2 linked regions of the Tribolium castaneum genome follow. The main gene of each other region encodes a partner of the protein of the gene in region 2 in a complex. Links are inferred from orthologs where the notes say so. Each region holds a gene or a part of one and is shown on either strand. Other genes may lie near its edges.

The links. Proteins that work in one complex are often made in the same cells at the same time.
Region 1: the proteins of DNA polymerase epsilon subunit 3 (region 2) and Chrac-16 are in contact, whole or in part, in a crystal structure (PDB 2BYM), measured with the Drosophila melanogaster proteins. The link is inferred for Tribolium castaneum from reciprocal best matches to the Drosophila melanogaster genes Chrac-14 and Chrac-16. Residues at the interface, in NP_476646.2 of Drosophila melanogaster: Ile15, Leu18, Ile19, Glu21, Ala22, Leu23, Pro24, Glu25, Ser26, Ala27, Ser28, Val29, Ser30, Glu32, Ala33, Ala36, Ile37, Arg39, Ala40, Ala41, Val43, Phe44, Ala45, Phe47, Val48, Thr49, Lys62, Thr63, Ile64, Thr65; in NP_001285148.1 of Drosophila melanogaster: Thr35, Gly36, Leu37, Thr39, Asn40, Glu41, Val42, Phe44, Leu45, Met46, Lys48, Cys49, Thr50, Glu51, Leu52, Phe53, Val54, Arg55, His56, Leu57, Ala58, Gly59, Tyr62, Arg69, Pro70, Gly71, Glu72, Ala73, Leu74, Lys75.

The regions. Positions count from the first base shown.
Region 1 is NC_087399.1:7,015,721-7,018,889, forward strand, and holds Chrac-16 (chromatin accessibility complex 16kD protein), read left to right. Parts: upstream 1-2,289; coding exon 2,290-2,655; downstream 2,656-3,169. Other genes in the region: uncharacterized protein LOC107398497, read right to left, coding at 2-817. UniProt on the Drosophila melanogaster protein: Histone-like protein which promotes nucleosome sliding of ATP-dependent nucleosome remodeling complexes. Part of the chromatin-accessibility complex (CHRAC) which uses energy/ATP to increase the general accessibility of DNA in chromatin.
Region 2 is NC_087394.1:1,508,162-1,512,500, reverse strand, and holds DNA polymerase epsilon subunit 3, read left to right. Parts: upstream 1-2,503; 5' UTR 2,504-2,575; coding exon 2,576-2,846; intron 2,847-2,894; coding exon 2,895-3,004; 3' UTR 3,005-3,020; downstream 3,021-4,339. Other genes in the region: centrosome-associated protein 350-like, read right to left, coding at 616-2,154; E3 ubiquitin-protein ligase LRSAM1, read right to left, coding at 3,137-3,256, 3,308-3,531. UniProt on the Drosophila melanogaster protein: Accessory component of the DNA polymerase epsilon complex. Participates in DNA repair and in chromosomal DNA replication. Histone-like protein which promotes nucleosome sliding of ATP-dependent nucleosome remodeling complexes.

The sequences.
Region 1 (3,169 bases), on a different chromosome or scaffold from region 2:
ACTATTTACAATAAGAATGGTCGATTTGGTCGTTTGGTTCGACTTTAATCTCCCCCAGCTCAAACACCGAGTGCTCGTCCAAGTCCAGCGGCTCCACCTTGATGCACTCCTCGAAAATATTCTCCGGTAGTTCCCCCGCGTTTTGTATATCGTCCGGATCAACGCCTACGTACTCGGGTCCGGTCAACTTGAGGGGGTCCTCCCTCGTGCAGTCCCCCACACTCACACTGCCCCCAAAAACACTCACGTCGACCTCCTCGATCTGGAGGTCCAAATTGCGGCTGGGGACGTGGTCCGGGTTCAGCGGATCGTCCACCGGGAAGCCCAGTATGAAGTGGTCCGAGCACACCGTCACCTGGTTGTCGCTGCAAGCCCTGGTGAACCTCTTCCAAGCGTGGAAACGTGTCCAGTTCGTCTCGTTGCGCTCCAGCGTGAAGAAGTGCTTGTTTTTGTGGACGTTGTCCTGGTTGTGGCACGAGCGCACGTCGCACTCGCGGACGGTGATGGGGGCTTGGGGCAGGTTCAAGGTGGGGATCGCCCTCGCATTGAGGGTGTCTGGGACTGTGGTCTCTCCGTAGTAGTCGGTCTTCTGGAAATGCATGGAACAGACGCGCTCGCAACGCGCTGGGGTTCTCATGAGGAGGATTTCCTCCCATAGCTTGCGGATGCACATCAGTTTTTTGGGACCACCGGCGTCGAGGGTGCTTACGGAGAGGTAAGTCGTGTCTTTGGGGGGAAATGGGTGGAAAGATAGTAAGGGGTGGGTTCGGCTGTTGGTATGGCAGTTTGAAACCGAGCAAAAGTAATTATCTTTCATTTTTTCATAGATTTCAACAGGTTTTTGCCAAAAATGCGAAAGAGAGGTTAAGTGCACTGTTGACAACTGTCACAATAAAATCATAAATTAATAATAATTTCAACCAATTTAGGCCGAGGATTAATAATAATTAATTTAATCATGGTCGTAATATATTAATTACGTGCATCTGTGGTGGTTTTTGCACAATTTTTTCGTAAAATATTAGGGTACGTTCCATAAAATTGTGCTAGTGTCACTTGGAATAACGGATCCTTGTATCTCCTCTTATCTGTATCACTGAATTAATAATCTTTCAGTATTTTGTAATTATGTAATTATGTATATTTCATAATCATAAACGAATTTTTTGCTGAACAGCTCAATTAGGTCATTCAATTTTTTTTACAAAAAAAATTGTTTAAGTGTTTATTATCAGTTAGTTTATTCGTTAATTGCAAAATTTTCAAGTTTTTATATCGTGATAAGTAACGTCTAATAAGAATTTTTTTATTATTTTAATTTTTAAAGACTTGAATTCTATTTCAAATTTTTTAGAAAAATTTTAAATTAAGTATCATGTGGTGATAAATTTATTGCCAAAAACGCACCAATTAAACCCCGATAAAGTCATGTTTTTTATTAAAAAGGTGTTGAAGCCTTATGTTGACACGTGGATATATTGTTTCCTTTAATAAAGTATTCAAAAATTGTTACTTTCCATGTTGCGTTTTTGACAGATAACAAATCAGTCTTTCAACAACACATAAATAACAATCAAGTCACCACATATCTGTCGTTTGTCAATTACGGCAGTTGTTTTCCCAGCCGCCTCCCCCAACCGACCAAAATTTCCACATATAGCCCGACCTCGCGTACTTAAAAATAAATCACAAAAAAGCCGAATAATTTACACCGAGTAAATAAATAAATAGACAATGACGTCACTTGTCAACATTTTGGTAGCCTCTGTTCCACCCCCCACCAGTGCGTGTTTTGTCCAGTGACGTCTTGTGCAGTTTTCTCGAATCGCGTCGATTAGCTTCACGCTTTGTTACCCCATCGTCGAATACGAATTTTTGCAACAAAACCAATCGATACACCGTGCAAACGACTCATTTTCCCAATCGAAATCGCGAAAAAACCGCGAGTAAATTCCGGTCTAGTGTGCAGTGCTGCTGTCATTTTCCTTCCCGATCCAGAGTGCTGTGAAAAAATTTCGAGAGGGTTGCGATGGTTGCCGTTTTTTAGCATCGTTTTCGGGGAAAACGTCGATTTTTTGGTGAGTTTTCCACTGTTTGTTTTTGCGCAAAGTGGGCCAGTGGGCGGGGTGATATTTTGGGAGCAAGTCGCGACGAAAATACTCATTTATTCGTGAATTCGGTATTTTGGGACGAGGCAGTGGCGTACGCGGATTTTTGGCAAAGGGGGCAATGTCACGTGACTGCGTTAATAGACAGATGACGGCCATTGTGTGACGTCATTTCAGTGTCATGTCGTCCAAGCCATGGGGGGCCTTGCCCATCGTCCGGATAAACACCATAATGAAGAGTTCTTCAGAAGCGGAAAATATCAGTCGGGAGTCGTCGTTAATGATGACGAAAGCCGCCGAACTCTTCATTAAAATGTTGGCCCAGGAGGGCTATAAGTTATCCGCCACGGGTAAAAAACTTGATTACAAACACTTGTCAGAAGTGGTCAATCGGGATGAGAAATACGAGTTCTTGCAAGATATCATGCCGAAGAAAATCACGTATGCTGAGTACAAGAAAATGCAAGAGGGCCAACTGAACGGCGCCGAAAATCACCAAGAGATTTCAAGCGATGAGGAATCCAGCAGCAACTCGAATAGTGAATAAATTTTTGATTTTTCAATTTTTGTTTGATTTTTTTTCCAAGTTCAAGATTAACTGGCACGTGGCTGCTTGCGTGTAACGACTCTCCTCCTCCCCTATTCTTGCAAATACAGGGGTGGAATTTCCCCGGACGGTTATCGATTCGGACTTTCAAGGGCAGCGCTGCGGAAGTTACACCTGCTAGCCCTTTATTTATTTATTGTGGTGGCACCACTGACACAAAAAACCCTAAAGTCTAGCCCACTATGACCTTAAAATGCCTACAAGAAATAAACCCATACAGAATAATGCCCACAAAGAATAAACCCCACGTCGAAAAAATTCACATGAAAAAACCTAGGTACACGGAAAAAAGCTCACAAGTTAAGAAATGTATTGTGAAAAAAACCCACATGAAAAGAAAACCACACTGAAAAAAGCCCAGACGGATAAAAACTCACATGGAAAAAAGCTCACACAGAAAATACTCACATACCTCAAGAAAGAAAGAAGTTCACTACTACTTCAATAACTTCAT
Region 2 (4,339 bases):
TTTACTAATTTCTGCCTTGTTTTCTTACTTAAAAATGTACTGAAATTACAGATAAAACCAATTTTTCAAGTTTTTTGCCTTGGCTCTGGCGAAATTTTTTAAAAATAATTGTAAACATTGACTAAAATAAGGCATCTCAGACGTAATTCTACAAATTTTGGTCTTGTTTTGGCAAAATTTCTGAGTACATGAAGTTTTTACACAATCTCTGCCTAGTTTTTTAGAGGATTTCTCAAATTTAATGAATTTTTCAACCAAAAAATTCTCTAAAATCAGGTTAAACGGAAAAAATAGAACATGTTTTTACACTTTTTTTGACTTGTTTTGATTGCATTTCTCAAATTTACTTATTCTCTTTGTAAGTAAATAATAAGTAAACACCTTTTTTTGGAAAAATATTTCGATTTTATTTTTTTTTTTCGGTGAAAAATAACTGCATTTCTGACTCAATTTTACAAACTTTGGTCTTACAATAATCCGCTTACTACATATTTTTAGAATCTTTTGTTGGAGTTTTTAGAATTTTCCGGTGAAAATTCAACCTTTTTTTCTTGAAATCAATTGAAATGTTTCGGTTCAAAACTGTTCTAAATGAGACAAAAAAAAACAACTTACCGTACTAGAACTTGGCCTAAGTGTGATATTTTTCAGCTGATTTTTACCATCATTTTGTGGCTTCTCCAAACTCAAAGACCTGTTGTTACTCGTATTTTCCTCGGTAATAATTTTAGAACTCGAATTCTTTGAACTTGTTTCCAAATTATTGGTGTTTTCTTCAGTTGTGATAATTTTACTCGTTTCCAAATGATCCGAAACCGATTCTGAATTTTTACCTCCAACCAAGAGCGATTTAAACGACTGTTTTTCTTGCGAAAAATTCGAATCCGATAAATAGTTTTTTTCACTAGCTGATTTAATCGTAACCGTGTTCATTTTCCCATTGGCAAGACTCAAATTACGAACCGAAAGCGAAACATTTGGTTGTTTCATCGTCAAAGATTCGGGAACCGAATCCGAATCAGAGAAATTTTTCGATACTTTTTTTTCAGTTAGGAGCGATTTAAATGAAACACTTTCTTTGTGAAAATCCGAACTGTAACTATCGTCACTTTTCTGCAACTTGTAGTTTTTCAATTTATCGAAATCGAGCTTTAGACTTTCACTCGAAATGTCGGGAATATTTTTCGAAGTATCCGACTCACTACCACTATCACAATTATTGAACAAATTTTTCGACACTTCTCTCAATTCTAAATTTTCCACAGGCTTCAAGTCGAGACATTTGTGCGAAACAAACGATCTCAACTCACTTTTGGCACTTTTAATCAACAGTTCTTTAATTTCTTCCCTCGATTTTGTTTCCAGGGGCGGAGTCCCGGAATTCTGCACCCCAATGTCGATAAAATTCCGGGGCGAATTCACAGCAAACTGCAATTTTCTCTTAACTGTGTTTATAAAATTGTACGGATACGCCGCACAAGGGGGCTCCAGCCAGGGCGCCCCCTTGTCGCACGTTTGCGTCTCTTTCGCCTCAGACGACGTTTTCGCCAATTTCTGGGGCTCCCGGGCCTTGGCCCTCGAAATTCTCTCGCTTTTTTGCGTCTTTTCGGAGCCCTCAGAAACTTTTTGTGCGGGCGACTTCGAGCGGTCGATTTTCGGGGGGCCCCCCTTGTCCTGTGACTTCGGGCGGTTGGTTCGGACAAGGGGGCCCCCTTTCTCCCGCGCCTTCGAGCGGTCGATCCGGACAGGGGGCTCGCCCTTGTCCCGCGATTTCGAGCGTTCGCGCTTCAACTGCACGTTTTTTGTCACCAGCTCGAGTGTTTTCTGGTGTAATTCTTTCAGTTTTTGCTTTTTCAGATCGAGTTTATTGTCAGTGGTGTTGATTTGGGCCCGCAATTGTTCGGCGCGTTTTTCCCGCTGTTTTTTGATGTAGTTACGCGCCTCGGTGACGTCATAACTGCGGGGCTTTTTCTCGGGATCGGGGGGCGCCTTTTTTTTAACGGTTTGGGTATCAGGGGCTGGCTTGTGGGTGGGGGGCTCAGGGGGCTGGGTCCCAAGACTTATGAGCTTCTCTAGCTCGGTTTTGAGCTGTTCGATCTCTTTTTTTGTGTTTTTTACACGAGTGCTGACATTTTCCACTTGGCTTATGGACATTTCTGAACCCCCTTTTTTTAGCGAATTACGACTGGAAATTGATTAGACTGACGTACAATTCACGAATTGACCCACATTTGTGTTAATTTAGGTGAGAAAATGCAAAATTAACTCACCTTTTTCACATATTTTCAAAACGTCAACCGTTTATAACATAACCTCAATAACCAAGGCCAACAAGGGTGAATAGTTCAAGGCCCCCCACCAAAACTGCAAAAAACAGCCCCTAAAATAAACCACCCCATTCGTCACGAGCCCCCCAAGCTTAATTAAACAAAAAACACAAATTTATAATTATTAGGTGACCAATAATAAACAAATTAATGATTTTTTAATCAAAATTCAAACATGGCGGTTGGCATTGCGCATGCGCGTTTTTTGTTTTTGGTGGGAAAAGTAATTTTGTGAATTTTGTGACCAAATGGCCGAAAAACTGGAAGATTTGAATTTGCCGAACATGACGGTGCAAAAGATAATTAAAGACGCATTGCCTGAACACGTCAGTGTTGGTAAAGACGCCCGTTCGGCCCTGTCAAGGGCCGCTTCAATTTTTGTCCTGTACATAACCTCACAAGCCACCAAAGAGGCGCAAAAAGTGAACAGAAAGACTCTTCTGGGTCAAGACATTCTAACAGCGTTAGAAGAGCTCGAGTTTGACGAATTCGTGGAGCCCTTAAGTGTGATGCTGAGAGGTTAGTTTTTTTTTGAGGTTATGTTCACGTTTCAAAAACCGACTTCAGATTTCAAAGAAGCGAAGCAGAAGAAGAAAGTGAAGAAGGGGGCCGACGTTGAAATGGCGGAAGACAACGACGAGGAGGCCGTGGAAGAGGAAGAAACGGGAGAATCGTAATAAAAAATAAATTTTTTGTGATAGTTTTTTATTCATGAGAAAAAGTAACAACTGACTAGATTAAGGCCACAAATCGTGCAGAATTCACACTTTAGCAACACTGAGCAAAAAAAGTGACGGCAGTTGAACGAACTATGAAATTATTCTAATTTTGCGTTCGATTGAAGTCCTGCACATTGGACAGTCGTTCAAGGTCACAGGACACTGGGAACAGCAACAGAAGTGTCCACATGGCACGAAAATCACCTCACACTGCAAAAAAAAAACACCAAAATTCGCCTTAATTTGAGATAAACAACATACAGTTGAGTCCAAACAAATGACGCATTCAGTCCCCAAATTTGCGACATTTTCGAGTGGTGGCGCACTTGCCTCTTCGATTGGCAGCACTGGAGCTGAGGGGGCCGTATCGGTCGGTATTTGCTCCTTTCGGTACATTTGGAATGCGTCTAAAATGTGGACCCGGTCCGATTTATTCACAATTCCCACTTCTTTGAGGTCGCTTTCTGTGATTTTTGCAACGTTGCCTGCAAATTGGTTAAAAATCGGGCCAAAGTAGGCACTGACTTTGAAATTTAGGTTGGCAACACTGACGGGCAAATAATTCGGCGTTGCCAACTTAAGCTCGATTTTAATAAAAGCGAAAATAATTCTTAAGAAGTCTTCATGTATGATTTTAAGCAAAAGTAACAATCACTAGAAAAAAATTTGTTGATAAACACGGAACTGAATGTTCGAAAAAGCTCAAAACATGATTAAAAACTCGAAAAATGGAAAAATCAAGTGGTTTTGGACCCCATTTTGTAATTTCTTGGCCGTACTTAATTAAATACTAATACTTAATTTTTATCTAGGTAATATTTATGTACCTTTTTGAGTGGGTTTCATAAAAATGAGCGAATATATAATAAAATATAAATATAAAAAAGGCAAAAATAACGCAATTTTTTGTGCTTAAATATTGAAAAGAAGCGAAAATAGCTTATTTTTTTATCAAAAGATGTGACTTTTGGCCAAGTTTTAGTAAAATCTCACAAAGCTATATAGTTTTTAGCGCAAAAAAAGTGAATATTTAGTTAAAAAACCGCTTTCAAACGCTGGAAAAACGAAAATAGCTTAATTTTTTTATCAGAAGGTGTGACTTTTGGCCTAGTTTCAGTAAAATCCCAAAGTTTTTTAGTTTGTAACAAAAAAATTACAGAAAATTAAATTAAAAAGCTCAAAATAATGGTAATTTCAAATAATTTTTGGCCAATTGTGGTAATTTTTGAGAAAAAAAGATATAGACATAATCATATTTTTTGACTTTTAAAACTAAAAAAAATAATGTCATTT